4 linked regions of the Arabidopsis thaliana genome follow. The protein of the gene in region 3 interacts with the protein of the main gene of each other region in a pairwise test. Each region holds a gene or a part of one and is shown on either strand. Other genes may lie near its edges.

Evidence for each region.
Region 1: the proteins of SHD (region 3) and AT4G24730 interact in a two-hybrid assay, tested with the Arabidopsis thaliana proteins (one study listed by BioGRID).
Region 2: the proteins of SHD (region 3) and PRXR1 interact in a two-hybrid assay, tested with the Arabidopsis thaliana proteins (one study listed by BioGRID).
Region 4: the proteins of SHD (region 3) and AT4G24780 interact in a two-hybrid assay, tested with the Arabidopsis thaliana proteins (one study listed by BioGRID).

Annotation. Positions count from the first base shown.
Region 1 is NC_003075.7:12,750,519-12,757,484, reverse strand, and holds AT4G24730 (manganese-dependent ADP-ribose/CDP-alcohol diphosphatase-like protein), read left to right. Parts: upstream 1-3,178; 5' UTR 3,179-3,474; exon of another isoform or gene 3,475-3,841; 5' UTR 3,842-3,853; coding exon 3,854-4,789; 3' UTR 4,790-4,957; downstream 4,958-6,966. Other genes in the region: FC2 (LAMMER-type protein kinase AFC2), read left to right, coding at 551-740, 919-945, 1,029-1,182, 1,292-1,340, 1,439-1,553, 1,703-1,794, 1,880-2,030, 2,110-2,174 and 3 more; AT4G24715 (high-affinity nitrate transporter-like protein), read left to right, coding at 6,613-6,820. UniProt on the Arabidopsis thaliana protein: Hydrolyzes ADP-ribose, IDP-ribose, CDP-glycerol, CDP-choline and CDP-ethanolamine, but not other non-reducing ADP-sugars or CDP-glucose.
Region 2 is NC_003075.7:11,644,063-11,651,340, forward strand, and holds PRXR1 (Peroxidase superfamily protein), read right to left. Parts: upstream 4,583-7,278; 5' UTR 4,251-4,582; coding exon 4,023-4,250; intron 3,902-4,022; coding exon 3,713-3,901; intron 3,612-3,712; coding exon 3,446-3,611; intron 2,961-3,445; coding exon 2,551-2,960; 3' UTR 2,047-2,550; downstream 1-2,046. Other genes in the region: AT4G21950 (uncharacterized protein), read left to right, coding at 379-543.
Region 3 is NC_003075.7:12,549,660-12,559,224, reverse strand, and holds SHD (Chaperone protein htpG family protein), read left to right. Parts: upstream 1-3,166; 5' UTR 3,167-3,373; coding exon 3,374-3,440; coding exon of another isoform or gene 3,441-3,444; intron 3,445-3,544; coding exon 3,545-3,662; intron 3,663-3,744; coding exon 3,745-3,898; intron 3,899-3,989; coding exon 3,990-4,070; intron 4,071-4,236; coding exon 4,237-4,348; intron 4,349-4,433; coding exon 4,434-4,560; intron 4,561-4,653; coding exon 4,654-4,792; intron 4,793-5,010; coding exon 5,011-5,125; intron 5,126-5,229; coding exon 5,230-5,423; intron 5,424-5,512; coding exon 5,513-5,728; intron 5,729-5,810; coding exon 5,811-5,976; intron 5,977-6,096; coding exon 6,097-6,238; intron 6,239-6,322; coding exon 6,323-6,473; intron 6,474-6,550; coding exon 6,551-6,955; intron 6,956-7,038; coding exon 7,039-7,323; 3' UTR 7,324-7,673; downstream 7,674-9,565. Other genes in the region: AT4G24200 (Transcription elongation factor (TFIIS) family protein), read left to right, coding at 1-2,298; TLP1 (THAUMATIN-LIKE PROTEIN 1), read left to right, coding at 8,004-8,073, 8,157-8,807, 9,201-9,463. UniProt on the Arabidopsis thaliana protein: May have a molecular chaperone role in the processing of secreted materials. Required for shoot apical meristem (SAM), root apical meristem (RAM) and floral meristem (FM) formation, probably by regulating the folding of CLAVATA proteins (CLVs).
Region 4 is NC_003075.7:12,768,453-12,775,750, forward strand, and holds AT4G24780 (Pectin lyase-like superfamily protein), read right to left. Parts: upstream 3,987-7,298; 5' UTR 3,776-3,986; coding exon 3,660-3,775; intron 3,381-3,659; coding exon 2,631-3,380; intron 2,540-2,630; coding exon 2,179-2,539; 3' UTR 1,769-2,178; downstream 1-1,768.

The sequences.
Region 1 (6,966 bases), 200 kb from region 3:
ATTTGATTTTTATTTAAAATTTAGGATCGGTTTAATTTTTGTGTTGATTCTTCTGGATCTGCAGTTTTCTCAATGTTTTTGTTTTTGTCAATTATTCAATTTGAAGAAACCAAATTCTGTATGATTAGGTGAAGTTTGTGATTGAATTAGGTGGTGTTTTAGATCTATTTAAATTTGGTCTGTCCTTGAAATATTTTAGATGTTCAGTGTTGTTAGGTTCAATTTCTGTGGTATGTTTTGTTTTTAGTATTTGTTTGTAGATGGTGAACCAAATTTGATCTGATGCATGATTTGTGAATTTTGAGCTGAGCAAGATTTTGTGTTGGCTGATTCGCCTTTCCCTCTCCAATTCTATAAGTTAAAGATAATCGTGACTTCGTGATTTTTTCTGAAGAACAATAGATAATAGATGCACGTTGAATACAAAAAAAGTTGTTTGGATTTGGATTTACCCTTAAGGTTTTAAGATAGTAAATGACTCTGAACGAGTCGGCGTAGAAGGATAGTGGCAGGTTTTCATCTGTCTGTTATGGTACATGAATATGTGTAGGCTCAGGTAGGAATGTTTTGTGGGCAAGAGATTGGAAATATATCAAGCTTTGCATCTTCCGGAGCTCCTTCAGACAATAGTAGCTCTCTTTGTGTTAAGGGTGTGGCTCGAAATGGTTCTCCCCCATGGCGAGAAGATGATAAGGATGGACATTACATATTTGAACTGGGAGATGACTTAACTCCACGCTGTAATCCCACTTTTCTATTACCAAAAAACTGTTTTGATAAAATCCTGAAGATACCTTTTAAATTTCTCTAGATTTTTTTGTCAATGGCTTTGAACAAACTCTAGGTGTTGTGGTGGACCTTGTGTATATTGTTTTGATTTCAGTATTCTGATTTCTCTATGCTCTTCTTGTTTTGCAGATAAAATTTATAGCAAAATGGGGGAAGGTATGAATTTATGGTTGTTGTACAAGTTATTTTCATAGGTCCGGTGTAGTTATCGTATCTGATTTCCTAAATTTTCCTTGTAGGTACTTTTGGTCAAGTGCTAGAATGTTGGGATAGGGAGAGGAAGGAAATGGTGGCAGTAAAAATTGTCCGTGGTGTGAAGAAATACCGTGAGGCTGCTATGATTGAAATTGAAATGCTGCAACAGCTTGGTAAACATGACAAAGGTGGCAATCGGTAAGTACTGTCTGTTGACTTTTTCTTCATGCATCACTAATCTGATGAAGTCAAGCATAGTTTTCCAAGATTCTTTTTTGCAAAGGTTAAATCATTGTATTCCTTGCAGTTGTGTACAAATTCGGAACTGGTTTGACTATCGTAACCATATCTGTATTGTAAGTATTTAGTCAATTTTGTGATGTCTATGATTTTCCCCGGTTTGGGAAATAGTTGGGGTTGAATTTTGTGGATGAACTTAAAATGGTTGCTACAGGTATTTGAGAAGCTTGGATCGAGTTTATACGATTTTCTTCGGAAAAACAATTATCGCTCCTTTCCCATTGATCTTGTCCGTGAGATTGGCTGGCAACTCTTGGAATGTGTAGCATGTGTGTAGTCTTTGCAGTCTTTTCATTCTACATGCTCGTGCATTTTTATCTGAGTTTTGCTTGTCACTGAGATGGTTACATCATTAGTTTTTGAATTTCAGCTCTTTTCATTTCTTATGGCAATTTTCTTGTCTATTTTTGTTTTGCAGTTATGCATGACTTGCGCATGATTCATACGGACCTTAAACCAGAAAATATTCTGTTAGTCTCCTCAGACTATGTGAAGATTCCCGAGTACAAGGTATATCTCGAATGCAACTGTGTGTGACCTTAATGTGGCCAACTATTTAAGTGCTGAAGGAATTTGGTTGTGTTTCCTGATGCAGGGGTCCCGATTACAAAGGGATGTATGCTATAAAAGAGTGCCTAAATCAAGTGCAATAAAGGTGATTGATTTTGGTAGCACAACTTATGAGCGCCAGGACCAAACCTACATTGTATCAACCAGACATTATAGGGCACCAGAAGTCATTTTAGGTGAGTAGCTCTTGTTATAAAAACTCATTAAAATTTTTAGATATCACAAACTTATGGAGAAACATTGCCTTGTGTGCAGGTCTTGGCTGGAGTTATCCGTGTGATGTTTGGAGCGTTGGATGTATCATAGTGGAGTTGTGCACGGTGTGTGTCTGAAGTAGTTGATTGTTAATGAATGTTTGGGAGTCTTTTATTGAAAGATTTGAGATTTGTAGGGTGAAGCATTGTTCCAAACACATGAAAACCTGGAGCATCTAGCGATGATGGAGCGTGTTCTTGGGCCGTTTCCTCAACAAATGCTGAAGAAAGTGGAGTGAGTTGAATAAAACACACGGTCTGAATTCTGAAGTGATTGTATATATTGTTGGGTGTTTAACTGGATTTATTTTTGGGTTGTTTGGTAAAGCCGGCACTCAGAGAAATATGTGAGAAGAGGTCGTTTGGATTGGCCAGATGGGGCAACCTCAAGAGATAGCCTGAAGGCAGTATTGAAGCTTCCTCGGCTTCAGGTTGGTCAAGTGTTGATATTTTGAGTTTGGGTGGAGTGTTATGGTAGTTTGTAAAATAATGGTGATGCCTGTATTGCAGAATTTAATAATGCAACATGTGGACCACTCAGCCGGGGAGTTAATAAATATGGTGCAAGGACTTCTGCGATTTGATCCGTCAGAGAGAATAACCGCTCGTGAAGCTCTGAGGCATCCGTTTTTCGCAAGGAGAAGATAGCGGGACTTGAATTTGACGAGTGTAAATAGGGATGAAATATGTATGATTTGTAGCAAGTCTTTACCCCACAACCCCACGAATTCTGATATAAATTAACAAATATGCTAAGATCACTCTTTTTTTAACCGTGATAGGCGATTGTTTGTCTATCTTTGTAAACTGGATCGTTTCAATTCAAAAGAGTTTTAGTTTTGGATTCTATCTACAAGTAGAGGTATATGCATAAAGAGAAAGTGCTGCTACAAGTAGAGGTATATGCATAAAGAGAAAATGCTGCTACTCATTACTGAATGATTTCATAACACCAAGCTAAGAGAATGGATTTTATAACGCATTTACATTGGATTATATATTGAAGAAGAAATGGTATAATAAGAGATAAGTTGCAAAGAAAATATGAAAGGCCAAAACTAAAATATAAACTAAAGAAACTCCTCCATTGATGAGCCCATCATAAGAATTAGTGATACAATAACCCAAACCAAATTAACGGGGCGTTTTTTTTTTTCTCTTCTTGGCATTCGTCGGAAAGAAACAGCATGTAGTTTAACCAGCGTAAAGAAAAACTACACGATTTGTAAGAAAATTCTCCAGTTTCACTTGAGTTTCCGTGTTTAGCTATCTTCTCTGGAATTTACCCAGAACTTCTTCCGCCTTGTCCGATTCTGCTTCACCTCTGCGCATTCCTTGTCTGATCCTCGCAGGAAACTCTACTGTCGTAAGTCTGTCTTTTACCAAAATGTCGTTGATTTTCCATACGACTTTCGTTTTATTTTCACGATCTACGCCGATATCGACCATTGAGTCTACGATTTCTCTATTACAATGGATTTAAGAAAACAATTCTGACGAATGGGATTAGATTCTTACAAATATACCTGCAATTGCATTGTTCCACCCTTTCTTTTGTGATTTTTTCAACTACTGTTTAATAAAAGGTTCAGCTCAAATTTGTGAGATCAGAAACTTGTTCATGTGCCAGTTTTCAAAAATCGTGGCTTTTTAGTCCTGAGGGTTTATATGTGAAGCTAAACTATGTTATTCATTGTGAAAGTTTTTTCTAACATAACTTTTGATGTTCACAGAGCAATAGGTTGATGGGTTCTGCAGCCAGACAGCCTCTCTTCTCATTTGGTGTTATTGCTGATGTTCAGTATGCTGATATTTCTGATGGCCGCTCTTTTTTAGGTGTTCCTAGGTATTACAGAAACAGCATCCTTGTCCTTCAAAGAGCTGTTGAAACTTGGAACCAACATGGTAACCTCAAATTTGTTATTAACATGGGTGACATTGTTGATGGCTTTTGTCCCAAAGATCAATCCTTGGCTGCCACTAAGAAACTAGTCCATGAATTCGAGAAATTCAACGGTCCTGTGTATCATATGATTGGTAATCACTGCCTCTACAATCTCCCCCGCGAAGAGTTGCTTCCGTTGCTGAAGATCCCAGGTCGTGATGGCAATGCTTATTATGATTTCTCACCAACCCCGGAGTATAGAGTTGTGGTGTTAGATGGTTATGACATCAGTGCTGTTGGATGGCCTCAGGAACATCCTAATACTATCGCTGCATTGAAAATACTTGAAGAAAAGAACCCAAACACAGACAAAAACAGCCCCGCAGGGCTTGAGGATGTTGCAAGGAGATTTGTGAAGTATAATGGTGGTGTTGGGGAGAAACAGCTGCAATGGCTAGACAGTGTTCTTCAGGATGCATCGAATTCAAACCAGAGAGTTATCGTATGTGGGCATGTGCCTATGAGCCCTGGTGTGGCATCCAAAGCAGCTTTGTTATGGAATTTTGATGAAGTGATGAACATTATACACAAGTATGACTCTGTTAAAGTTTGTTTGTCCGGACATGATCATAAAGGAGGATACTTTGTTGATTCTCATGGGGTTCACCATAGATCCTTGGAAGCTGCCTTGGAGTGTCCCCCAGGTACGTATTCGTTTGGATATATCGATGTATATGATAACAAGCTGTCTCTTGTTGGTACTGATCGGATGCAAAGCACCGATTTTGAGAACTAGAGTTTTCCTGAATGATCAATTATTTGAAATGCAGAGTTTGTAATCACAACCATATTTCTATGTATTTGGTGCTTTGTGAATAAGATGATTATAAGTTTCAGTTGATTGGATTACTAGTTATTTGTATGAACTTCCATATGTTCTTAACAAGGAATCTATATCAGATGGATCTGTTTTGGATTTAGTTGTGCAATAAAGGAAATCTCTAGCTAAATTTATCTCTTTGTAGTGTCTAGCTGAATTTTTAGGTGTACGTCTGTGTTAAGGTGATGAATATAGGTTTTCAAGTCATGTTCCTTCATAGATTTAGTGCAGATTATTTTAAGAAACATAGATAAGATTTGTGTTAATTGTAGTTTAGATGTATTAGTAACAGTTAGACCTTGATTAGCAGAACAATAGATCAAGTTTTCAGCAGAAACTAGATTGTTTTCTGTATACTGGAAGTCTGAAACTGCTCGAGGGTTTTGAAAGAACTCCATTTCGTGGAGGCAAATGATGTTAAGGGAGCTAAATGGAAGGAGAATATTGATTTTCGTTTATGATTAACTGCTTGGACTATGAGATAGTCATCAACTATCAGAGAGAAGACTCTTCCTCCAACAGACATTTTTTTGATGAGAAGCTGAATTGGTGATGTGGGCAGTAGCTCCTGTGTCTGGAAGACTGACTTTGATCTGACACCCTCATAGCAGCCAGAGCATTATGTAGATTTTCAGGCTGGTAGTCATGTTTTAAACCTGTTGTGACACTTGAATGCAGAGTGCCCATATCTACCACATATCTGACTTGTAGGTTTTTGTCCAGATCCAGAACCTGTGCTTGAACCTGATCCAAACTGTTGCTGGAAACCTCTACCACGGGAATCATTATAGCCTCCACGAGTATAGTATGCTTTCTCAATGTGATATGCCATGTGAGGAGTGACTTCAGAGGGAGAATTAGCATAGGCTATTAACTTATAATCAAAGGCTGTGAGTTTATGCACCACATCATCAAAACAAGGACCAGGATAGAGATTTAGATAGTGCTCTATCACAGTTGCCACAGACTCATGTTCCGTGCCTAATCCGTTTAGAACCCCATAAAAATTCTCTTGTACTTGTTCTCTTGATAAAACCTTCTGTCGGAGGAAGAGTCTTCCCTCTGATATCAACAAGGCTTATGAGTTCGATTGCAAAGCAAATACTGTAGCCCGTTTTATGTAGCAATTACTAATTTGATTCCAAATTTAGTAATTCCCTAGGAAGTAAGGAAAGTGTAACTGTCTTGCTGAATCCTTTTGGTGAGTCTACACTTCACAGAAGTTCGGGGTTGAATCGAAGCAGTTGCAATCCTGTTTGTAATATTCACTAATAATTCACAAGTGCGTGATTCAAAAATGCTGCATAAGCCAACATCATAAAGAGAATTTATTGGGAGACTGCTTTAGCTAGCAAACTTAGTGCATACTTGTTCTAGAGATATTTAAACTAGCACATAATTTTTTTTGATGGACCAACAATCAATCTCAGCAAAAGAAACTCAAAACCGGATTTCCTGAATTAGATGTCTTCCTGAATGATCAATTATTAGATTTCCGGATTGGGATCTAAGTAAGTCCAATTGGTATGATGAGGAGTTTTTTTTTTTTTTTTTTTTTTTTTCATTCTTGGGCATTGTTTTTCGTGACTGAACATTATTCGATAGATCAACTATGTTCGTGTCGACTACCGAGTAATGGCGCCCGAAAATTCCCTTAAATTCTTCGCACTAAATGATCGCCGGTTCAAATATTGGCGTCTAGTGGCGTTTATGTATTTAAAGATGGGCATTCTATAAATATGAGACACATGTGTGACACACATTTAGTCGTCCTCCCTTACCAAGATCACATTCTCATTCGGATCATGGCCATCCACACTCTCCTCTTCGTATCACTTCTCATATTCTCACTCATCGAGTCGAGTAGTGGAGGAAAGAAAGATAGACTCTTCACCGATCTCCAAAACTCAATTGAGGTCACCGCTAAACCCGTTAAAGATAGCGGAGGTTTGTGAACCGTCTTACCTTCTTTATAATTCAAAGATTTTGTACCTTATCTATTATCTTTTCAAATCCGCGACTAAAGTGTGTATTCATAAGTAGTGAAGTTGCCCACTAGGCTCTAACTGTAGGTTAAGTATAAAGATATATTA
Region 2 (7,278 bases), 910 kb from region 3:
AAAACCCTAGTACTTATGGAAAGTTATAAAAAAAAAAATCTATTGAAAATAAGAAAATGCTCATATACACATAAGGTTAACTGTTCGATTTACATAAAATTTATAGATACTAAACCCTAAATTCACAAAGTATCTCATCCGCTGCGGACGAAACCATGTCCTATGATCCGGTCGAAGAATATTCAAGTAAGATCTTTCTCTCTTTGTCGAAATTGTTTGTCTATGATCTCGATTAGCTTTCATCTGATCGATCCGTCATTAGTTAACCAGCGTATATCTAACCGTCGATCTGCCTTAGTAAATCCCTTAATTATAATGGATCTGCTTTTTTTTCAATTCCGTCTCGTAATTATAATGAAACCTGGCAGATGCTGACGCATGCATCTTTTGGGACATGGGGAGTTACCCATCCCTAATGGTCTGGATCCTTGTTTAGTTAAAGAGAAGATCAACTCAGAGCTCATGGATCTAGGTTGTAGGGGGGATGTGTCAATGCACGCTTACGGTAATAAGGATACATTCTCGGATGACACAAAACGTTGACTCTATATATTGACTGAGAACGTTGATCCTAGCAAGAGAGCTTCGTGGAAGTTTTGTCTCATTGAAAATAGATCACTGTAACTATCAGTGTTTGTCATGTAGTTGAAAAGTCATTTATGGCTCCACCACTCTTTATGATCATGAGACTGGGAACAATCGCTATATCAATTTTCTTCTAAAGAAATAAACAAGGAAGATAAATCACTTTCATGGAAGTGGTGATCAAAGTAAATGTCGCAACATCAAAATTAATGAGTTCATACATGCAATTTTACAGCAAGGAGATCAAAGTTTTATCTTCGATCGGCTTCATTCCGTTGGCAAAGACACATTAAATCTCATGGACAAAGTCAAAATATTGAACCCAAATGTAGTAACGTATGACCTAGGTACGCCTTACTGGCTTGGTCCATCATTAAAAGTTTGTATTAAATCATAAAAACATAATTTGTTTTTTGTCAACGATAAAACAATTATCATATAAACATCATTACCATTATAAATATTATGGAATTAATTTAGTTTAGTTTCGTTTGATTTTATACAATTTCCGCTTTAATTAGCATGAAGATGATCATCAAGAAAAAATGAGTTCTTTTTTTCCGTCTCTAACTAAAGATGGAGTGACATTATTCCTTTCTTTTTTCTTGAATGTTCCAGGGAACTCTAAAATTTCAGTGTTGATGCATTTCCGTGTAACATAGATCAAATTAATTAAAGTTGTTGAAGCTTTTTCACTGATTGAACATTAAACGAAACAAGGATTAAAGTAAAAGATGAGCATTTTGCTTTGCTTGGTGTATAAGTCATAAAAGCTATTAGGGTTGTTGTCATGGGCCTGAACTATGTTACCTATCATTTAAAACTAAATGTAGCCCGTTTGGTAAGTTATAAAATAAATAGACTCCAAAAGAACCGATCCGTTTAGTCCTTTTGAAACATATGCTGAAAAATAAAATGGATTCAAAATCGACAGCTAGAAATAGAATCTAATACACAAGGCCACAAGCTAACAAATGTCGACAAAATGAATAAATACAGAAGCTAACAAGTTGATGCAACTTATAATTTTCTATCCCAATTATTTTGTAGAAAACAAATGAAACTCGCTGACACTCTACATAATACGTTAATGCTGCTCCAAGTGTATCTGTGGATGTTTAAATAAATTTTCGGATTTGAAACTGCAAATATCTTAAACCATAGATCACTGCATTTGTTGTCTACACGCCACCACCATTATTGTCTCTCACGTCTAGTTTTAAGAAAAGTTAAAGTCTACCTAACGTTTTCTATGTATTTTCTAATTGAAGTGTTTAAGTACAGACTATAGTCTATATACCCTCGAAGAGAATCTCATCCGTTAGATATTTTTTTTCTCTATATATAACATGTCTCTGTCCTTTACAATTCAATGCGGGTCATGTGATTAAATATTACTACGCCTTTGTTTCTTTTTGCTTGCGACTTTTGGCTTTACTCTTTAGCTTGTGGCCCGTTTCTCTTATTTTGAATTATTATTTTTGGAATCTTTTTCATGAGTCATATCATATTCAATTATTCATGTCATTTACTACAAATTTTTAAAATCTTTGGTGAGATCAGTAAAATAGATCGATATCACCCATACACAGTACTTATGTATACCATGCATGTTGAACAAATTATCAAAAGATTCGGACATGTTTACTTATCATTACATCGTCATACATGATACCCAACACCATCCATCATATCATACATCCTTTCCATTATCATTATATCACCCCCACCACAAACCCAAAATCAACGAAGAGCCAACATTTAGATTAAATAACTCAAAGCCACTAACATCATAATTAAAGCATTAAGGCTGAACACACAAAAGAAGGAGGTGGTCACTACCATGATGTATTCATCATCACCCTTTCTTTGATTTAACTTAAAAGATTTTTTTATTCATCTTGGTTCGTACCAAGCAGAGAACTCAACACACCAGAGCCCCTGTCTTTCTCACTTTTTCCAACTTCAATGGTTCTTGTTTGCGAGATTACATTGCTTCCTGATCTCACCCTTAGAGCCAGTCAAGGGGTTGTTCTCGGATAAGATCTGGATTGCCCTAGTGAACTCCTTGAAGAAGTAGGCCTGGTCCTTAGCCATCTTCTTAACGATTGGTCTGGTTCGTTTGTCGTGTGCGAGCTGATGGTCCACAAGGAGCAAACCCTTGTTGTCTAGGATGTTACGGTAGTAATTGTTGTCTAGCACCATGGGGGTGCCACGGTCGTTACGCACGTACTGGACCGCCTTTGGGTCAGGGATCGAGTCAGGACACTTGTGTAGCATGTGAGGGACGTGGTCCGGGTTTAAGGACGGGTCCACCTCAGGGTACAAACGATGGACCAGCTTGACACAGTGAGTTCTTCCCACGCTGTGTGACCCTGCACGTGTCATAAAAAAAAAAAGTCAAAATCTTTCAGTATCGAACTTAAAAATCTAACAAGAAACTTAAATTCCAATCGCCTAAATTCAGATCCCATAAGAGTAAAGTCAATTAGTTTGATTAGTATGTTTAAGCATGCATGAGTTTATTGACCAAAATAACCTTGTGCTAGGCTATTGTACCGGGGCATAAACAAGGATTATCCTGTCTTATTTGTTAGTACTAGTGATAGATCGGATAAGGATAACTTTCAAAGTTCAACTCAGATCGCATACACTCCTTTTGTGATTCAATAAAGTTAGCTTTAGTAGTGGTTCATTAGTCATAAGAGTGTTTCATGCATGAGTAAATTGACTGAAATACCCTTAATCTAAGGCAGCAGCAACAAAATATCTCGGTTGGTCAAGAGTTTTTAATTTCAAGCGTTACGTTTTTTCCGGAGCCTAGTGACAAATAATCAAGGATGAGAAAGATAAAAGGTACCTAGGAGGGCGACGAGGCCGGGAGTGTCGATACCGATGGATTTGAACTTTTCAAGAACGACGGAGATACTCTCGTTGTGGTCGGGAAGATATGACTCGAGCATATCCGTCCTGCTTTTAAGTCCATCTCTCCTTCCTGTCTTCAAAGGAATATAAGGTCCTCCTACCTACACCAACCCCACACAGTTTTGTCAAAAAAGGAAAAAAACAGCATGCAGTTTTGTCACCAGACAGAGAAAACGGCACGATTATTATCCTTTAAACTTACTGCTTCGATGCCTTCTCTTGCGGACAAGACGAGAATGTCAGAACATGAGACAACACCAGGACACTCCCTCTCGAGAGCTTCCTTGATCTCCTCGATGTACCTAAAGTTTCTAAGTCCGAAGCTCCTGTCGTGTTCTTTCTCTCCTAGCTCTCTTCTTGTCGAATCCAGCAAAAGCGACGCATCACATGACTGTTTAACCCAAAAAAACAGAGCAAAACAGAGTAAAATCTTTAGATCTGTTTTAGGTAAAATATCAAAACCCATCATGCAAACATATGAAAGATCATTGTAAGAGAGAGAGTTTTCGGACCTCAACGGCGCAGTCATGGAAGATGTTACGGAGCCAAGAGAAAGCGGTGTTCTTGTGGCGTTTGTAGAGGAGTTTGACTTGTTCACGGACGATGTCTTCGGCCTGAGGACACGTGTCCTTGTAGAAGTTCATCATCAAACCTGGCTCAGCCTCTGTTACTGCTTCAGATGTTGCAGAGAGTGCCCAAAGGCAAAGTATCGCCACCATCATCACACCTTTGCCTCCCATTTTTTTTCTCTATCTTTCTTCTCTCACTACACCACTCTTGAGTTGAGTCAGTGAGCAAGCAATGCAGCCTCCTTAAATAAAGGGAAATGGAGTTTTCTTTATTTATTTTTCATAAAATAAAAGAAGCTTAATTTGAAGGTTATAGTAAATTAAAGGCAAGTTGGTGAATTTGCTACTGTTTCTATATGTTTAAGTACGTGACAGATCATATATCATTAAGCTTTATTCATTTTCACTTTGAGAAACCAACAATATTATTATAAGACTACAATAATTGTATGTTCCGTTCAGTCGTGATTAAGAATCTATATTCAATGAAAATTGAAAAGCGTAGACTTATTATAAGAAACTTATGTAATTTTTTTTATTATTTATCAAATTGCAGACACATTATAAGCTTTAAACAGAAAAAAAAATCATACTTAATTGATGCGACAGCTAAATTAGTGTAAGTTTGAATTTGAGAAAAAATAACAAAGTTTTTCTACGTTTTTTTTTTTTAATGTATGAACTTTCATATGGACTGTTGCCAAAACATATATTTTCCAAACTGATAAAAATTAATTTGTGGAGTTTCATTGAAATTACTCAAATGTATGCTAGACGTTCTACTGGAAATTTAATTTCGGTAAGAAATCTAAAACCCAACTTTGTTACTATTTCGAAGGACGGGTGAGTGACCATAGATCATGCTAGTTAGAGTCCTACACAGTGCTATGAGAAAATAAATAAGTTTAGGTTGGAGATATTAATGTGGATGGCTTGTTAGATAGTTTACCTCATTTAGAAGAGTATTTTGGTTAACTAAACAATTCACATTTTTTTGTCAAACAAAAAACCAATCACTAAGTTTTGGATTTTGGTCTCATTGAGTGGCATCAGTGGCCCCTATGACTAAAAAGAATCTTACAAAAAAAACTTATGCTTCTTTTGTTAATAATACACACAAAGGGGGCGGCTATAACAAATAATATTTATGGGGTGGAATAGCTAAAGTCAAAATATATTCATGGGTCGATTTGCAATTACCTGAAACATTTGTTATTGTTAAATTTTTAATACAACGGATAAACCGCTCCTTTTAGGTTATGGAATCTTTCTTTTCGATGAACTCAAGGTGGATTCTTATTTTTTCAAGTACATTTCGATTATTTAGTTCAAGATATAATTCCATTTGTACATATTCAATTACTTTTTGTTCTGTAGTTATTTATATATCCAACTATTTTACTTATTGTAGTAATTGTCAGTAGATTCGTATCGTAAAGTCTTCTCAAATATTGAATGAATCTTGATCCATGTGATGTAATAAAACACGTTCACCACTCTTCACTCTTGAGTGTTCCCTATACTTTATCTGTTTGTGGGTTGAAGTTAAATATTGAATTTAGTTTAGAGTACATTTTGAACTTTTCCTATGTTTTAACATAAACGTTGTTTTGATATTTTTCACATAAACTAAGAAGGTAAATAGGTATACTAATATGTCCCTGCAAAATTAAGAAAAATCTGAAATTATGTTATCTTTCATATTCTTAACTAATTTTCATAGAGGTAAACTAGATATCTAATTAAAAGCTAAAGGCTCCACTATTATTTGTTGCGGAACTATTATGTTTCTCGTTTCAGTAACAAAGGACTAATTTTGTTTAGAATGATTAAAACTAAATAAATATGTAACAGAGCTATAAAATGAGAGGACATTACTACTAATTCGATTCTTCTTCTTTTCTTAATCCTAGAATTTTTTTTATTTTTTTTTTTCATCTGGGGGAAGTATCGGTGCTTTTACCAAGATCACATTGAATCTGCAGATTCAAATTCACTTCAAATTTGGATATTTGGATTTTCCAATTTTTTTTTTAAATGAACAAATTTGATTTTTTCAATTAAAAATGAATGAACTGTGACCACCGACACTTTGTTTCCTTATCCAAGTGTCGCCAAATGAGTCTCTGGGGACCTTCTAGTGATGTCACTCTCTAGCTCAGTGGCTCCACGAGTGCTAAACACTAAATACTGATTAGCAAGTTCTAACTAAAAATTGACGTGTAACATGTAAAACTGTTGTGTTCATGGTGATGATAACCGGTTAAGTTCCAGTGTATAGGAAACCAAACAAACCCGGTTATCAAAATTGAATTAAGACAAGTTAGTAGTTAATCATGGATCTTTCATCTGACAAATGGACACTGTACTCATCCGTGTCCTCAACGTTGCATTCACAATGGGGCCTGCAAGATTCAATACCAAGACAAAAAAAACGTTAACTAATATATTTCTCTCACCAGACTTTTAAAGCAATCTAGGCTCAAATTCTTAGTTTCCAGATATACTGATATAGTGAAGAATATGAACTCTGAAGTAGTTGCCATGTCTTCTAGTTCCCTTCTTTAAAAGTAGCAACCGCTATATATAGCAAAGAAGGTTCCAAGGACCGTATAAATTCCATGTGATATGAGCTAGTTGAAGGATTTAAGCATTATAAGAACAAGATTTGATCGGATAACACATTTCTCTTTAGTTATAGATGTGACAGCTTTATTTCATCTCTTTGTAAAGTTAATTTAGCAACCATTTTTTTTACTTTCAGTAGATTTAAAGCCATCATTTAATCAATAGATACTGTGTGGATTGTCTGAGGAGGTTAGTAGGTTACACTTCCCTCTTAAGAGAGATATGAGACAAAACCACCCAAACACACAAATCTCAACATTAACCAACAAAATCATACCCAATTTGAGTAATAACTATGGGCCTGAAAGGCCCAATGAAGCCCATCACAAATATCCAGTGAGCCAATGTTCTGGATGTAAGTTACATATCATGTAACAGAAACCGATTAAAGACAAAGTGGGGCTTTTCTTTTGTGGTACAAGGTTTGTGTCTTTTGTGGTTAATTCGGATCCCGTGGCTCACACGTTATCTCCTCACTCACTCTAAAGGAGAGAGATCTGTGACATCGATGGAAATTCCAGGGGACCAATTGCTTAGGTTAACGACTAAAGAAGGGAAATTAAAACTTGCA
Region 3 (9,565 bases):
GTGAATTCCCACTGCTCTAATTCGATGACTGAAACTTTCAATGGTTCTTGTACCGATGATATCATGAAAGAGGTTCAAGAAAAACTTTCTGTGAAGGAAAAAAGCTCTATGGGGGAGACAAGTGGCCCAACGACTTTTGGTACTATGCCTACTGGGTCTAGTAGCCTACTTTATTTAGAGCGTGATAGTGCTGAAGGCCCATCAAATGCTCCACTGGATGCTGAGATACCCAAGGAAAAGCAGATGGCAAACTATTTTCTTGAAAAATTGGGTGAAGCAGGGACATCTAGTGCAGCAGGACACGTAGCTGTGTCTTCTGATTCTATTGTTGCCAGCATGGAGTTGGAGAAAAATAGTCTTTTGCAGAGTAGTCTTGATTCAAATGAGGTGAGCAAGAATGTGTCTGGGACGATATGTGGGTCGCACGATGTGAGCGTAGCCCATAATAGCAAACAGGTGTCTTCATTGACTCATATGACGGACAATCAAGATTCTGACAATTCATCAAGATTATCAGGTGGCCTTGGTAGAAGTAGAAAATTTGAGAGTGACAATTTAACTGGTCTTGCTGACAATGAAGGAAAAGATGATATGGGTCATTCTGACAAAAAGAGGAGAGTAAAACGGAGAAAAAAACGCATCTCTTCTAGATCAATGACCATATCCCAGCGCCTTGGAGCAATTGACAAAACAACTACTGATATTGATCTTGGTATTTTGGATGCCTTGGAGGTCGCTACCAAAGTCGCACAGGAAGTCGCAAGAGAAGTGGACTCTGGAGAACCTTCTCATAGTTCTTCAGAAGAACTATCCGATGAAAGCGGGCAGTCTGGTTCGCAATACTCCCGCGATGATGATGTACATACAGGTTCTCCATCTAAGGGATTATCAGTGACTGAAAACCATTCCTTTGAGGAACCTCATGTTGGAGATGATGATCTAATGGATGAGAAAGATGACAAACCTGAAAGTGGTGATGTTGAAGAAAGACACCTAGCAACAGCTGCTAAATCTGAAGTAGGCAGAGAGAAAAGCCCATGTGGCTTTGATCTTAATCAAGATATATGTCCTGATGAAACAGATGTCATTATGTCCTCCACATCTACAACCCCTGCTCCTATGTCTGTTTCATTTTCTGTCTCATCTTCTGCAATGCCTGCAGCAGCACCGTGGCATTTGGAAAGATCTCTTAGCGGGAAAGGATCAGCTGCTACGAGTGTATTTCACTCAGCATTACCTCATAAAGTTCCTAGTGGGGATTTAAGAGAAAAGCAGGTGATTTCTCGTGGTATCGATCTGAACGTGGCTGAGGTAGGAGATGATCAAGTTGAAGATCTTACTCCTTGGAAACAGTTTCCTTTCTCCTCATCAAACTCTAGGGGTGGAGAGTCTTCACATGAAGCCAGTCTGCGAGGATCAAGCAAGTTCAACTTGGATTTGAATTGTATGAACGAGGACGATGAGATGCCTCCACCTTCTGAGTCGAAGATGGAAACAAGATTGTTTTTAAGTCACAATGGTCAGCAAAGCGCATCACCTGTCTCCTCATCGTCAGTTGCTCAACAATCAGGCAAGGAAGTAAACTTTGATTTGAATGACAGGCCACAGTTTTTCATTGATTCACGTGATCAGGGTCCCTACTATGGGCGGCACCCATGGAGTACAGCCTCCTATGGGGGGCACAAATTGGAAGAACCAGGTATATCTATCTTGGGTACAAAAGTGGAAGCTGACAGAAAAGACTCTGTACCTCAGATGGCTTCGTTCTTGTCCAATGGCAAGTCCCTCGAGCCTGCAACAGGTTTACACATGGGAAGAACGGGAAACTCTTTGGGTCTAGCCCCTGGTGTCTCCTTTTCTCCAGCCCCTATGTATGGCTACAACGGATTGACTGGTCCTCCTGGTTTGTCAATGTCATCACCCATGTATGTTCCTGGAACTGCTATTCCATACATGGTGGATTCAAGAGGTACCCCAGTGATGATGCCGCAAATAATCGGATCAGCGCCGTATGTGCAGCCACCATTCCCTCAACAACACATGTTCATGAGCTTGGCGGGTGGATCGCCTAGTACGAATGGATCAATGCGGCCAAACTTTGATCAGAACTCTGGGTTTGGACTTGAGATAGGAAACAGAGAGTCGCTAAATTTGAGGCAGTTTCTATCACCTTCACAAAGCGGGGCTATGGGAGAGCATTCAGGAGCAAATGTAGAGCCCTCATCGAGTTCTTCTATCAGCATTGGTGGAAAGCGAAAAGAGCCGGAGCCACGTTGGGAGTTTCCTCCATGGAGGTGAGTGATCTACAAAGTGGTGGAGATGGGTTCTTGAATAGGTTGATGAATTGATTGATTGGTCAAAGGATGATGACAAGTGTTTTGAGGTAACTTATAAAGTGTCTTGCTGAACTTTTCCTTCTTTTTTTTTTATTTCCTCAGTTTTCCCATTTTTCAGGTTTTTTATTTTATTTCATAACATATAGGAGGATTAGTTCAAACATTGGTATATGTCAAGCTTCTTTTTAACCTTGTTGGGTTTTTCTCCATAAATAAATATATAGTTTTAAGATACAGAAAAGGTTCTAGTGGTTTGATTAATCTGTTGCGTCCATTTTCGTTCCATTCGTCGATATGTTATGCTCTCATTTCTGAACAACTGTTCATGGAAGAAAGCAGCGAAGGAGGTCTCTGGTGAGGAAGGAAGTCTCTCACGTGTTGTATCTTTCAATAAATAATGGGACCAAATAGACATTACCATTTTTGAACCGCGCATACATATTGCTACTACGGATGAGTGATGACTATGATCTTCCCAAATTGACAAATTGTATCGCCTTTAGGCGAGACTTTAGCCATCAACCGATTAAAGCCAGCCAAACGTAATAACCTTGGCAAGCATAATCATCGTTGTACAAAGAAAAACATCATTTTACTTTTGTATCCGACATCAATAAAAGCATAGCATCCTAATATCCAATAGTTATTTGTCACATGTAAAACAACTAAATATAGCCGTCCGATCGTCCCAATTAGGACGTAAACGAATATCACCGTTGATTTAGCATACTTTGATAATTTAAAAGTCGTCCATCCACGCCACAACCCCGAAATCCACGTCGCTCCACGTCAAGAACAAAACCTTGCTCCAATACAAAACTACCACGTGGCTATCTCACAATACGATCCGTTAGATCTGACACGTTGGCAAATCATGACGAAGCTAACCAATCAGGAGAAACTAAAGTGTACGCAACTAAACAGTTCACACATCACTGAATCATTTCCTATTATATACGGATCTATCGAGCTGAATCATCATCATCACTGAGTAACCCGAAAGCAAAGACTGAGAGAACCAAGGCTCCGATCTAACAATGAGGAAGAGGACGCTCGTGTCCGTTTTGTTCCTTTTCTCGCTTCTGTTTCTTCTTCCAGATCAAGGTACGTTTCGATGTATATATGTGTTGATTTTGAGTAGATAGATATAAGTGTTGCTTAGGATTCATATGCTGATGATGGCGATATTTCTGTGGTGTTTATCATAGGAAGAAAGTTACACGCGAATGCAGAAGAGAGTTCCGATGATGTTACAGATCCACCAAAAGTTGAGGAGAAAATTGGTGGTCACGGTGGTTTATCGACGGATTCCGATGTAGTTCATAGGTTAGTGTTCTGTTAGTTTCACGGTAGAACTTTCGCTTGGATTGCTTGAATCTTGCCTTATTCGAATTCGTTTGATCGACAGAGAGTCTGAGTCGATGTCAAAGAAGACGCTTCGCAGTAACGCGGAGAAGTTTGAGTTCCAAGCTGAGGTTTCTCGGCTTATGGACATTATTATCAACTCTCTATACAGTAACAAGGACATTTTCTTAAGAGAGTTGATCTCCAATGCTTCTGATGTAAGCAGCTTCGTGTACATTGTTTTAGTGAGTTTTTGGGATACCTCGTTAAATAGGGGAACTAATAAGTGTCTGTGTTGGTGATTTTCAGGCCTTGGACAAAATTAGGTTCCTTGCACTCACTGACAAAGACGTTTTGGGTGAAGGTGACACTGCTAAGCTTGAGATCCAGGTTAGCTACATGTTTCTCAATATGATTTTTATGCTTGAGAGTGTTGAAAATAGAGTTTCATCGATTTGTTTTATCAAATGCTGATCTCAGTAAATTTAGCCTTTCGTTGGAATTGTGTCTAGTGTAAGCTTTTTTCTTACCTCCGTAACTATGCTATGGTATGCAGATTAAGCTAGACAAAGCCAAGAAGATTCTTTCTATTCGAGACCGGGGAATTGGTATGACTAAGGAAGACTTAATCAAGAACCTTGGTACCATAGCAAAATCTGGAACGTCAGGTACGTTACTTATGTGGTGATACGTTGTCCTGCATAATAGTATGGATCAATAAATTCCATATTTCTAAGATCTTGCCTTTCGCAGCTTTTGTTGAGAAAATGCAATCAAGTGGGGATTTGAACCTTATTGGACAATTTGGAGTTGGATTCTACTCTGCCTATCTTGTTGCTGACTACATTGAAGTCATTAGCAAGCACAATGATGACAGCCAGTAAGTTGATTTAGAGGGCTTTGTTTGGCAATATACTTGTGGGCATGTAAAATCATTGAAAAGCTTTTCTGATAACTTCTTTTCCGTTTTCAGGTATGTATGGGAATCAAAGGCTAACGGTAAATTTGCTGTTTCCGAGGATACATGGAATGAGCCTCTTGGACGTGGAACCGAGATTAGATTACATCTTAGGGATGAAGCTGGCGAGTACCTAGAAGAAAGTAAACTTAAGGTGGGTAATATTTTGATAAGAAAGTAAATTTCTCTTTTGTTACAAACCTAAATTAAGCAATGCAAAGAACCAGAATAACCCAGGGTTTGTTGTAGAGAACCCCAAACTCTCCTGAGGGGAAGTGGTTCAGCATTATTATGAATTCAGTGCACTGCTTATTCAATATTTCTGTTTATCCTCTCATTATGGTTGCTAATGATCATTGTTGTCTACTACAGGAATTGGTGAAGAGATATTCTGAATTCATTAACTTCCCTATCTCCCTCTGGGCTAGCAAAGAGGTTGAAACCGAGGTCCCAGTTGAGGAAGATGAATCAGCTGATGAGGAAACTGGTGAGTATTAATGAAACACCATATTATAATTTTCTGCTGCAGTGTTATCTTTTTTCCCTTCAGTTTAGGCAGCCCTGATTTTTGGTAATGGTACTTGACTTCAGAAACCACCTCTACCGAGGAAGAAAAGGAAGAAGATGCTGAGGAGGAAGATGGTGAGAAAAAGCAGAAAACCAAGAAGGTGAAAGAAACAGTTTATGAATGGGAGCTTCTGAATGATGTTAAGGCTATATGGCTGAGAAGTCCAAAGGAGGTGACAGAGGAAGAGTACACTAAATTCTACCACTCTCTCTCAAAGGTGAAAACCATGCGTTAACTAAATCATACTTGTTACATACTAGGTGTAAAATTTTCGTGTGGATTTCCCTGACCCCAGTTGTTATACAGGATTTTACCGACGAGAAGCCAATGGCTTGGAGTCACTTTAATGCTGAAGGTGATGTTGAATTCAAGGCTGTGTTGTATGTTCCTCCGAAAGCTCCCCATGATCTATACGAGAGCTATTACAACAGCAACAAGGCGAACTTGAAGCTATATGTCAGGAGGGTGTTCATCTCAGATGAATTTGATGAGCTTCTGCCTAAGTATTTGAGTTTCTTGAAGGTAAACTACTTGAAAGACAAACTAAGGGGTTCTTTCAATACAAATTTATGGGCTAAATCCCTAACGTGAGTTGCTTTTGCAGGGTCTTGTTGACTCTGACACATTGCCTCTAAATGTATCAAGAGAAATGCTTCAACAACACAGCAGCTTAAAGACAATTAAGAAGAAGCTTATCCGAAAGGCGCTTGATATGATCCGCAAGCTTGCTGAAGAAGATCCTGATGAAATCCATGATGATGAGAAAAAAGGTATTCCATAAAACAAGTTTCTTGGTATCAATCCACTTTGACCGTTCCACTTTTTTTTACCATTTGGTAGCTTCATCTTTCTGAAACATGGTCTAAGCTTATTGACTTGTTGGCACGCAGATGTGGAGAAGTCTGGTGAGAACGATGAGAAGAAGGGTCAATACACAAAATTCTGGAACGAGTTTGGCAAGTCTGTCAAACTAGGTATCATTGAGGATGCTGCTAACAGGAACCGCTTGGCAAAACTTCTTCGTTTTGAGACGTAAGCTCTGTTACTTTTTTTTTAATACACGTCTGTCCATTCATTAGCACCAGCAGGCTAAAGATTTGTATTTTGCTATTTCAGAACAAAGTCCGATGGAAAATTGACTTCCCTGGATCAGTACATTAAGAGAATGAAAAAGAGCCAAAAGGACATATTTTACATCACAGGAAGCAGCAAGGAACAGCTAGAGAAATCTCCATTCCTGGAGAGGCTCATCAAGAAGGGCTATGAGGTTTGCATTGCACACGAATAATTCTTCTTTAAATGATCTCCAACTCGCATAACACGTTCTCATACTTGTGTTCCCAGGTCATCTTCTTCACAGACCCAGTTGATGAATACTTGATGCAATACCTGATGGATTACGAAGACAAAAAGTTCCAGAATGTGTCCAAGGAAGGACTGAAGGTTGGGAAAGATTCAAAAGACAAGGAGCTGAAGGAAGCATTCAAGGAGCTAACAAAGTGGTGGAAAGGAAATCTCGCTAGCGAAAACGTAGACGATGTCAAAATCAGCAACCGTTTGGCTGACACTCCATGTGTAGTCGTAACATCCAAGTTTGGATGGAGTGCTAATATGGAGAGGATCATGCAGTCCCAAACTCTCTCGGATGCTAATAAGCAAGCTTACATGCGCGGAAAGAGAGTCCTCGAGATCAACCCACGACACCCTATCATCAAAGAACTCAAGGATAGAATTGCAAGTGACCCAGAGGTAAAACAAACATAAGACCCATCAATTCTTTTTTTTACTTACTGTCTATTAGAGAAATAAACTAACATACCAAATTCTCTCAGGATGAGAGTGTGAAGGAAACAGCACAGCTCATGTACCAGACAGCTTTGATCGAGAGTGGATTCATACTCACCGACCCAAAAGACTTTGCTGCCCGTATTTATAACTCAGTCAAGAGCGGTCTGAACATCAGCCCTGATGCAGTAGCCGACGAGGAAATCGAGGCAGCAGAGGAACCAGAGACCAGTGAGGCAACTGAGACGAAATCAGATGACTTGGCTGGTGGTCTAAACATTGAAGCCGAACCCGTTGAGCAACAAGAAGAGAACACCAAGGACGAACTGTAGATTTCACTTCTGATGTTTCTCCTTTGTGTTTACCTCTTTAGTTTAAAGCAGAACATCGTTTTACTCGAATATCAAGATTAGTTTAATTAAGCAGTTTTTGATGGATTATGTAAACGCACTACTTGCATTCTAGAGATCAAGGAACCTAAACTTCTTCTTTTCAATGTATGAGTTTTTTATCTTTCAAGATTAATGGTCCTGCTGTCCGAGTTTATCTAGATTGTCCGAGTTTATCTAGATATGGTACCATAATATGCACTCTCTTTAGCTAATTTGGCCACCTATCATGCATATATTACTCGGTGTTATTTTCCACAAAATTTATTTTCGAAAACTTATGACTTTTGCAAAAATTTCAAACAGATAATCTGTAAAGCTATAGATTTTATATGGAAAAAGACTTTAATCAATATATTCGTGATAACATGGCTTTTCAAGATGTTGTTTTATCTTGTATCACTTTAAAACATAAAAGAAATTGGTCAATACTTTTGTGAGATCATCACATATCTTGAGCTTGACCCTTGAGACAACGTATATATAGAGGTGCTTTAAACTCTACTCTTGGTCTTTCTTTTTCCTCTTTTCTCTCTTGGTCTTTCGTTTTGTGAATATTCCAAACTTAATTTCTCCACCAAAAGTACTTTTTTTTTTTAATAGAGAGACAAAAATAAACAGTGATGATCATAACAGTCCTTCATTCTCATGTCTCATTCTATTTCATCATCCTTAGCTTCCTCTTCTTCCATGGTACGTAATATTCATATCTATCATACTTTCATATCAGTATGAATATTTCTATATAAAATGTAAATATTAACATATAGCTAAAGCATTGCATTTGGTAGGAAGTGATGGTGCTACAATAACCATCGTAAATCGATGCAGCTTCACCGTGTGGCCGGGAATTTTGTCCAACTCCGGAAGCGGCGATATAGGCACCACCGGCTTCGAGCTCGTTCCCGGTGGTTCACGTTCGTTCCAAGCTCCAGCTAGCTGGTCAGGTCGGTTTTGGGCACGAACCGGTTGCAACTTCAACTCAGACACAGGACAAGGCACCTGCCTAACCGGGGACTGCGGCTCTAACCAGGTCGAATGTAACGGTGCAGGAGCAAAACCGCCCGCTACACTCGCCGAATTCACAATCGGGTCAGGTCCAGCAGACCCGGCCCGTAAACAAGACTTCTACGACGTAAGCCTCGTGGACGGTTACAACGTTCCCATGTTGGTGGAAGCAAGTGGCGGGTCAGAAGGTACTTGCTTAACCACGGGATGCGTAACGGATCTAAACCAAAAATGTCCAACGGAGCTCCGGTTCGGGTCCGGGTCAGCATGCAAAAGCGCGTGTGAGGCTTTTGGTAGTCCAGAATATTGTTGTAGTGGCGCGTACGCCTCACCCACCGAGTGTAAACCATCGATGTACTCGGAGATATTCAAATCTGCGTGTCCAAGATCATATAGCTACGCGTTCGACGATGCTACAAGTACGTTCACATGCACTGATGCTGATTACACCATCACTTTTTGCCCTTCCTTGCCTAGGTAGGTTAACTTATTTTATTTTTGTTTTCATTTTATTTGTTCCCACTTGCTTTTTGGTAAATGCACACGACGAGCTTAGCTAGCAAAGTAAGGTGATTGGCTTGAGCCAGGCTAAGAAAAAGAAGTTGATACTTTTTTTTTTTTTACACGTAATAAAGGAGTTTATAATAGTCATTCCATCAAAGAAAAGGAAAACAAAAAGGTTATTACAACACGTACCATAGGCCTACCATTATGAAACGGGGAAGCACAGATAAATTATTAAAATTTAGTCCTATATTTAGTCCTATATACTATTATTCTGATAATCTGATTAAAGTTGGAATATGTTACAGCCAAAAATCGGCAGCGAATGGGTGGAGAGATGGCGGTGGATCAGTACAAACCTCACCGTCACCATTATCGACGTGGTTGTCCGATGTCTTCACCTCTGATTCCTCAAATGTTCAGTCTTCCCAATATTTACTCATCTTTACTATTTTTCTTCTTCTGCATTTTTGATATTTTTGTTTCTCATTTCCGGGTGTATATTTTCTATCCTATAACATTTTTATGTTTCATGATTATGATTATGCACATTGATGAACATTTAATTTAACCAAATTTATTTGGGGGTTGATTTAAATTTTGGCGGAAAATAGCCTAAAGTCCATGCAAAACCGTATCCAAATGCAAAGTATATGAGATGCCACTAACTTTA
Region 4 (7,298 bases), 220 kb from region 3:
ATATGTGAATTTTAATGAATTATTATTTATTTGATTATTTAATATCATTAAATCATATAATTGCGAAATCACAAACATCATAGCATAAACTTTAAAATTTCACTTGAGGTAAGCATTTTATTTTCCACAATACAAAGTCTCATTTTCAATCTTATAATGAGCAATGATAACTATTTGTTGAGTTTATCAAAGAGTTGATCGACTTGATAAACTTGTTTTGAGTTTTCTAGCTCTCTAAGAACAACCTCATAATGATCTATCTAACTTTCGGAAGAACAATCCACTTATTCTCGAATACGAATAAAGAGAAAAATTACAAAAGGAAATACATATTAGCCTTGCGAACTCGGTAGTAAAATATTATGGTGTCAAACATTTCGGTGGAGGCTTGTGTGCGTTATGATCGGTTTTGAAAGAGTTAACTTTAAGGGGGTGTTATTCGTTAATGAATTTTAATAGAATTGAAATCCAACACTAATCCAATGTTATTCAACTAATGATTCTAAATCCAGCTTTAAAATCTAGTGTTATTGGAACTCATATTTGTAAATCATGCTTAATAGATTTTAAAGTTTGGTGTTATTCAATTAAGATTTTAAATATTTCATTAAAATCCAATGTTGTTCAAAACTAAAAGTCTTGTAAAATCTTTGTATATTAATTGATTTGAAATGAAACCTCTTTGGAGTTTCATGAGTAAATCATTAGAATCAAAATCCAAGATATATTGCAGAGATTTTGAAATTCATACAAACATATTCTTAAAAGCAATATCAGAAAACAAATCTAAAGTTTAAAGAATTAACTTTAACTCCATAATTGAATAACACCAGTAATTCTGAATCTTTTTGTTGGTTTCAGTTAACTATAATTTCTTACTGTTACGGCATCACTGAAATATAAAGAATAATAGAACAAATATAATCGATTGTTACAACTAAATTAACTGACCAGTACACGTGACCGCACACAACTCATAACATGGCCACTTAAACCTTCTTGCTCCATAGGAATTTCTTTCGTTCCCCAATAACTCAAATGTAAAGATTTTTTTTTTCATAACAAGGAAATTCTCTACCTAGTTTTATGCTATATACAGTATGACCAAAAAAAAAAAAAATCTTTCTTGGCAAACTAACATTTAATACTCACTGACTGACCAAATCAAACCAGCCACATACTAATCACACCAACTACATCACATCATTAGTTGCGACCACTTGTTACTTTCAAAGTTTTCTTCTTCCTTTCGTTCCTAGATGTATTATCATGTTGCACATGGCCATCTTTAACAAAAGAAAATGTGCACATGGCCACAAAGAAAGTTGGTTAGTTGTTTAATTAGTTACTTTCAAATTTTAAATAAATCCCATAATCAGTGGACAGTAGTCAAAACACGAATATGAGACAAACCCATCAAAAGTAGAGCTACTGTGGTATTGACTGCTCCAATTATCTTTCTTTTGAAAATTTTAGTATTTCTTTTTTCTATTCAAAATCTATCAACTTCACTTTTCTCTTCTCTCATTGTCATGCCTAGGATTTTCTTTTCCTATTTTTAAGGGTAATTTTTCTTTTAATTTACCGGAATCGATGCATTGGCCAGAGGAAAAAAAAGTCGCGGCAGTTGGTCAAACATTGACTGGCTCCAACATCTTTGACCCAAAAGTTACCATTTTACATAACATTACAAACTTCCGAATAAAAAGTCATTTTATTTGGAAAATCAAAGAGCCATTATTGACTTGCCAAATGGGCACACTTTTAACTAACCTCTCCATCATGTGTGTACGCAAATTTATACTTCAAACTAATTTTTGTGACTAATCTATGTCTTTGCATTGCAATGCTCATAAGAAAATAATACTAGTAAAAGATAAAGACACAAAATCATATTTATATTAATATCAAGATCAACACATCTGCACTTGTTCCCACACTTTAACCTAATTTAAAGATTCCTTAAAACAGAGAATCCTTAAGAAGGGTCCTAGAGAGCAGCTAGCCAGAGGTTGTATTCTCCTTCAATTTTACCCGAATAAACAAACAAAAAAAAGAGTAAATCAAGGGATTAAGAAAGTCTTACTACACTACTTAATCCCCCTTAATTGGTGGCTTTAATTGCCTTTTCCTATATAATAATGGGGTAAAAACTTAAGTGTGACCACTAAGCCACAATCAGCAACGGGAACCTTTACGGCAATTCAGTGCACCAGAAGTAGACGTCAATGGTCCAACTAGAGAAGACGGTTTAGCCCCAAGGCTCGAAGCCTTTGCATAGCTAGACGAGGCTGCACCACCAGACGGAGTAAAAAACGCACCGTTTAGCAACAAATCTCCGGAAGATCTCCAATTCCATCTCTTCCACTCGCTCTCAGGCGCGTCCTCATGCTTAGTCACTTCTTTGCTAAATCTGATATTGGGTGCCAAAAATCTGTTCCCTTGACTATTGATTGTAGGATTAGCACTTCCACCAATCGCATACATCTCCCAATGTGTGTAGTCATTGTTCACCACATGGAAGTATCCATGTCTACACCTACACAACAACAATACAATGGTCCCAAAATTAATCTATATCCATGGTCACAATCACATTAACTACTAACACAAAGTGATTTTTTATTTACCTGGGCATTCTTTGGACAAGGCCTTCACCAAAATGGTTAAAAGCAATGGTAACTTGCATATTCTTGTCACGACTGTAAGTATCACTATGACCAAGCAACATGACCTTATCATGATGTGTCATATGATTGTTAGACAAAGTGATAGCCGTCGAGCCCATGATAGCATCAATAAGTCCATCTTCACAGTTAGAGAACGAACAATGGTCAACCCAAACATGACTTCCTCCAAAGATAGAGACACCATCACCGTCCGATATCGTTCTCCACCCGAAATGCCGTGGAGAGCTCCGCACCATAGCGTTGCCACCTTGCTTGCAATCATGGATATGAATCCCATGGATGATAATGTTGGTCACGTACTGGATCGTTATACAAGGCCCACCAGAGATGTGTACGGAAGCACCACGGCCATCGATGGTCTTGAATGAGTTCATGATTAGCTCTTCTTTGAGCTGAATCGTCATGTCTCGTTGGAAGATGATCCAGAGTGGCTCGTCTTGGACCACGGCGTGTCTTAAAGTTCCGGGCTTGGGGCTAACTGGGTTGTCGTTTCCTGAGTCGGTGACCACGTAGATCCGACCGTCACGGCCACCGATGGCGTTTTTGCCGAATCCAATGGCGCAGTCAGCGAGACGTTGACGGTGTTGCTCCCAGTGAGGGTCACAACGCCAACAGTCGTCGATTGGGTTACCGGTCGTACATGAGAGGTAACCTAACTTCCTTCTTCCTGCAACCGACGCATTAATGCTCCTGCAACAACACAAACACATTGCAAACTTTTGTTAGAAAAACAGAGACTTTTCAAAATGGTCCCATTTTTGTAAAGGCGAGAACTTTGTAACACTATGCTCAAATTGGTTTGTAAAGGTGAGAACTTTGTAACACTATGCTCAAATTGGTTTGTAAAGGCGACAACTTTGTAACGCTAGGCTCAAATTGGGTTTCCATAAAAAGCAGAAATTTAAAGGAGAAGTGGGTTTCAAGTAAATGTGAAGGAAGGGTTAAGGAAAAAAGATGAAAGATTCATACTTGTGAACTTCTTCAACGACAGATTCAGGGTCAGGAACTGGTGAAGATAAGAACAATGGAGCATAGAGAAGAAAGGAGACAATGGTGATAAAGAGCTTCTTCGTCTGCATTTTCATTTCTCTCTCTCTCTCACTTGGATTACAGTACTGTCTCTCTCTCGGATTGTGGTGAGAGAAGAGGGAAGCGAAGGAAGACAGAGGAAATAAGTATTGAGTGGAGAATACAGAGAAGAGGAAATTTTGGGGGTTTATATAAAGAGAAAAAGGACCTCTATACTATTTGTTATTGGAATTTTTAAGGTTTAGGTCCCACTTTTTTTTTTTTAAATCATCTTTAGTTAAAAAAAAACCTTATACTATAATAATGCCTAGGAGGTAGGAACAAATAATATGGTTACATCCGTTACTCAAATCTAATTGTTGACAAAAAACTAAATAAAAAGCCTCCAATCTAATTAGGTCGATATGGTGTACTTTTCAAATAACTTCCACATGACCTGTTTAGCCCAATATATACATTATAGATCCAGGGAGTTGGTGTTAAGTTAGTTAAGTATAAGGATCCATATCAAGTAACCATTATATAGTTTATAACAATATATATTTGCATGTATTTATAATTGTATATTAATGTGTATTTTCATACATTTTAGAACAGTAAAGTCGGCATTGAGAAAAGTTTGACTTTTTCTTGATTGGGCATGTAGAACATGCTTCAGCTTTGTTCTGACCTATGAACTCATGAATTTAATTGTGTATCTACCTCATGGCCTTTCACAAATTTCCAATATATCTTCCATTTGCAAATTGTTTGAACATGCATGTTCTACATTGTCGTGTAGGGGAGGAAGACATCGACGTGCCCTCTTTTAAGTCAAGATAAAGAAGCTGGTGGTGGGAACTAGCGATTCAACCATATCCACTAAGCGTGTATGGGGTATGCCAAGAGCCGTGGATTTGGTAAGTAGTAATGGTTGAGTCGAAGCACTTGTCAGTCAGTTACCTCAGAACTCCGTTTCTTAAACAACATTCTTTATGCATCAAGTGGGATATATATATTAATTATGTTCCAATCTTTCCAAATATACCATAGAATCGAAGAAAATTATCGAATAGCATCATTTGTTCCCACCAAGTTTCTTAGCTCTTCAAAGGGATATTTCGATGATGGAAGACGATTGGAGGACGAGGGAATCTTCAAAATATGTTTTAGTTAGATATTTCTATACTTTTAAATAGATTGTTGCACTGTATATGCTTTACTAATTGCTCCTACCAATAGTTTGATACACTAAATAATTCGTGCGGCACCATTGGGCACTTGCGGAATATAAGAATTTAAAATGTAAAATCTTCCCCAAACGATTTGGATCCTATTGCATTCACATAAAGTATGATGACAACTTTTAAAGTGTGGGATACAGTTTGGTAAATTTTATATCAATATTGCGGGGTTCCTTGTATTATTAGCACATAGCATATAACTCCGATCCAAAGAATTCACTAGGCTTTACTTATAGTTGCATATATTAATTGCAAAACAAAATTAAATAACCATTGGAAAGTTTACGTATCATAGCAGTTATCTGAATATAAACTTTTATTATTCAGAGAAATAAGATTTCCAACCATAGTAATAGTACTACAGCAACATGTCATTCGAGTGGGATATCAAGGGAAAAGGAAGATAAATGATTTAACGTACATGTCAAGTAATCTAGAAACACAAATAGAAAAACAAATAATGGAATGAGATGATGAGAAAGAAAACAGTAGAATCATGTAATAAAATGTCGGGAACACACATTTAATAAGTCGTAATGATTCTATTGAAGATAATTGTCCTTGCATGATCTCCGCCATATATCATTTAAATTTCAATATCCGTATATCTCTATGGACACCTAACTTTTAGATAGGGACTGAATGATATTATAGTGTTGAGGGAATTTTTTAAATAGAAAGGAGTTTATATATTGAACACAAAAATGATAATCAGAAGTGTTTGTAAGAATACTAACTACTTAATTAAGATGTAGAAGAAAATAAGTAGTTTAATATATATTCTTGTCTTAAAACGTAGAAAAAATTAATTGCAGCTATTTGCTTCATGATTGGTGTCGGTGAAAATGTATTGAGAAAACAGTTTGTTTTTCATCGTATTCCTTTCCACTTCATAGTGCACCAATCACGGTACGGGATTTGAAAACTCTCTGGCTTAAAGTCCTTTAGGTAATAGGTGTTGGTAATGATAGGTGGAAGTGGAAAAGCATGGGAGGGAAAGTGATTTGTGGGACATGTAATGTAATGTAATGTAATGCTGCCCTCGTGATTTGCCGGTTTTACGGGATTCCCTAATTGTTAGGTTGTTTTTGACAGTTGAGCATGCTTTTCTCTGCTGGACTCCGTAATCAACTGATACGGTTGCTCTTTTAAACTAAATTAAAAAAATGGGTCCTCCGTCCTCATGAAATAAAAAGTAAAACAGCAAATAGTGTCACCTTTGTTTTTTCTTCGACAACAACAATAATGTCATTTGTTGACAATGGAAGTCTGGTAAAATTGTAAATAATATATATACTAAAATCTTATTTTGTTGACAAAACGAAATGTTATAGACTTATTCCTAGCGAACTCATGCGACCTTAGCACATTTCGATTTCTTGTGGTTGTTGTTGTTCCATACTTGATCCTTGTAGAGAAACAAAGCGCTAGGGTTGACGAATTTTGATCTTCCATGTCTCCATTGAGTGGTTGGTTTAATGATGCTAACGGGCCAAAAGAATGGATATTTAGTTTTGACCATTTCACTAAAACTTGTACATTGTTAAATTCTTAACTAGCTCTTTCATCATTTTGGTAATTTGATCAATTACCTCAGTTACAATTTTTTAAATAATATAGAATTGTATTTTGACCTAGTAGTAGATATAGAATTATTTTACCAATACTTAGATTTCTGGAAAAAAATCTTAATGCTAAGTCAAAACTAACGAACCATTTTTGTGAAATTGTCATAAAGCTATATATTATTTACCTTTTCACGGAAGATAGTGCGATTGGCTAAAAGAAGAAATGCAACTTGAAGTTTTTCTAAACCAACATATGTGTTTTGTCAATATCTTTTGCTTTATCGATAAGAAACTTCAAAGCAAACAATCAAGTTCGACATAGAACTCTGTTCAAGGAAGATAATTACTTTACTTTGATCTCGGCGGTCATATAGTGTGTTCCATGAACGGACAAATTCTTCCTCTTCCCCAAAATTTTCCAAAGGTTATTTTTGGCTATTTACGGGTTGTCACAAATTAAAAAGGAAATGTGCAAATATTTATTATTATTCTTTGACTTGAGGGTTAGGATACTCAATATTTACAACAACCCCTATTCAAAACACAGATAAATAAATATGAAAGTGAATAACATTTAATTGATGGAGTAGTAGGAATCAATCAAGGAGAGAGCTAGGGCCGCTCATATCAACAAGTCTTCACCTTCACTCCACTCCACCAACAAGATTTGATCTATAAGATAAATGTGATAACGACAACGAAGATTTGAGTAATTGTAGCACATGCATCCCAAAACTGATTATTGTTGATGATGAAGGGTAAAGTAGGCAACTCTATCATGCGACGTA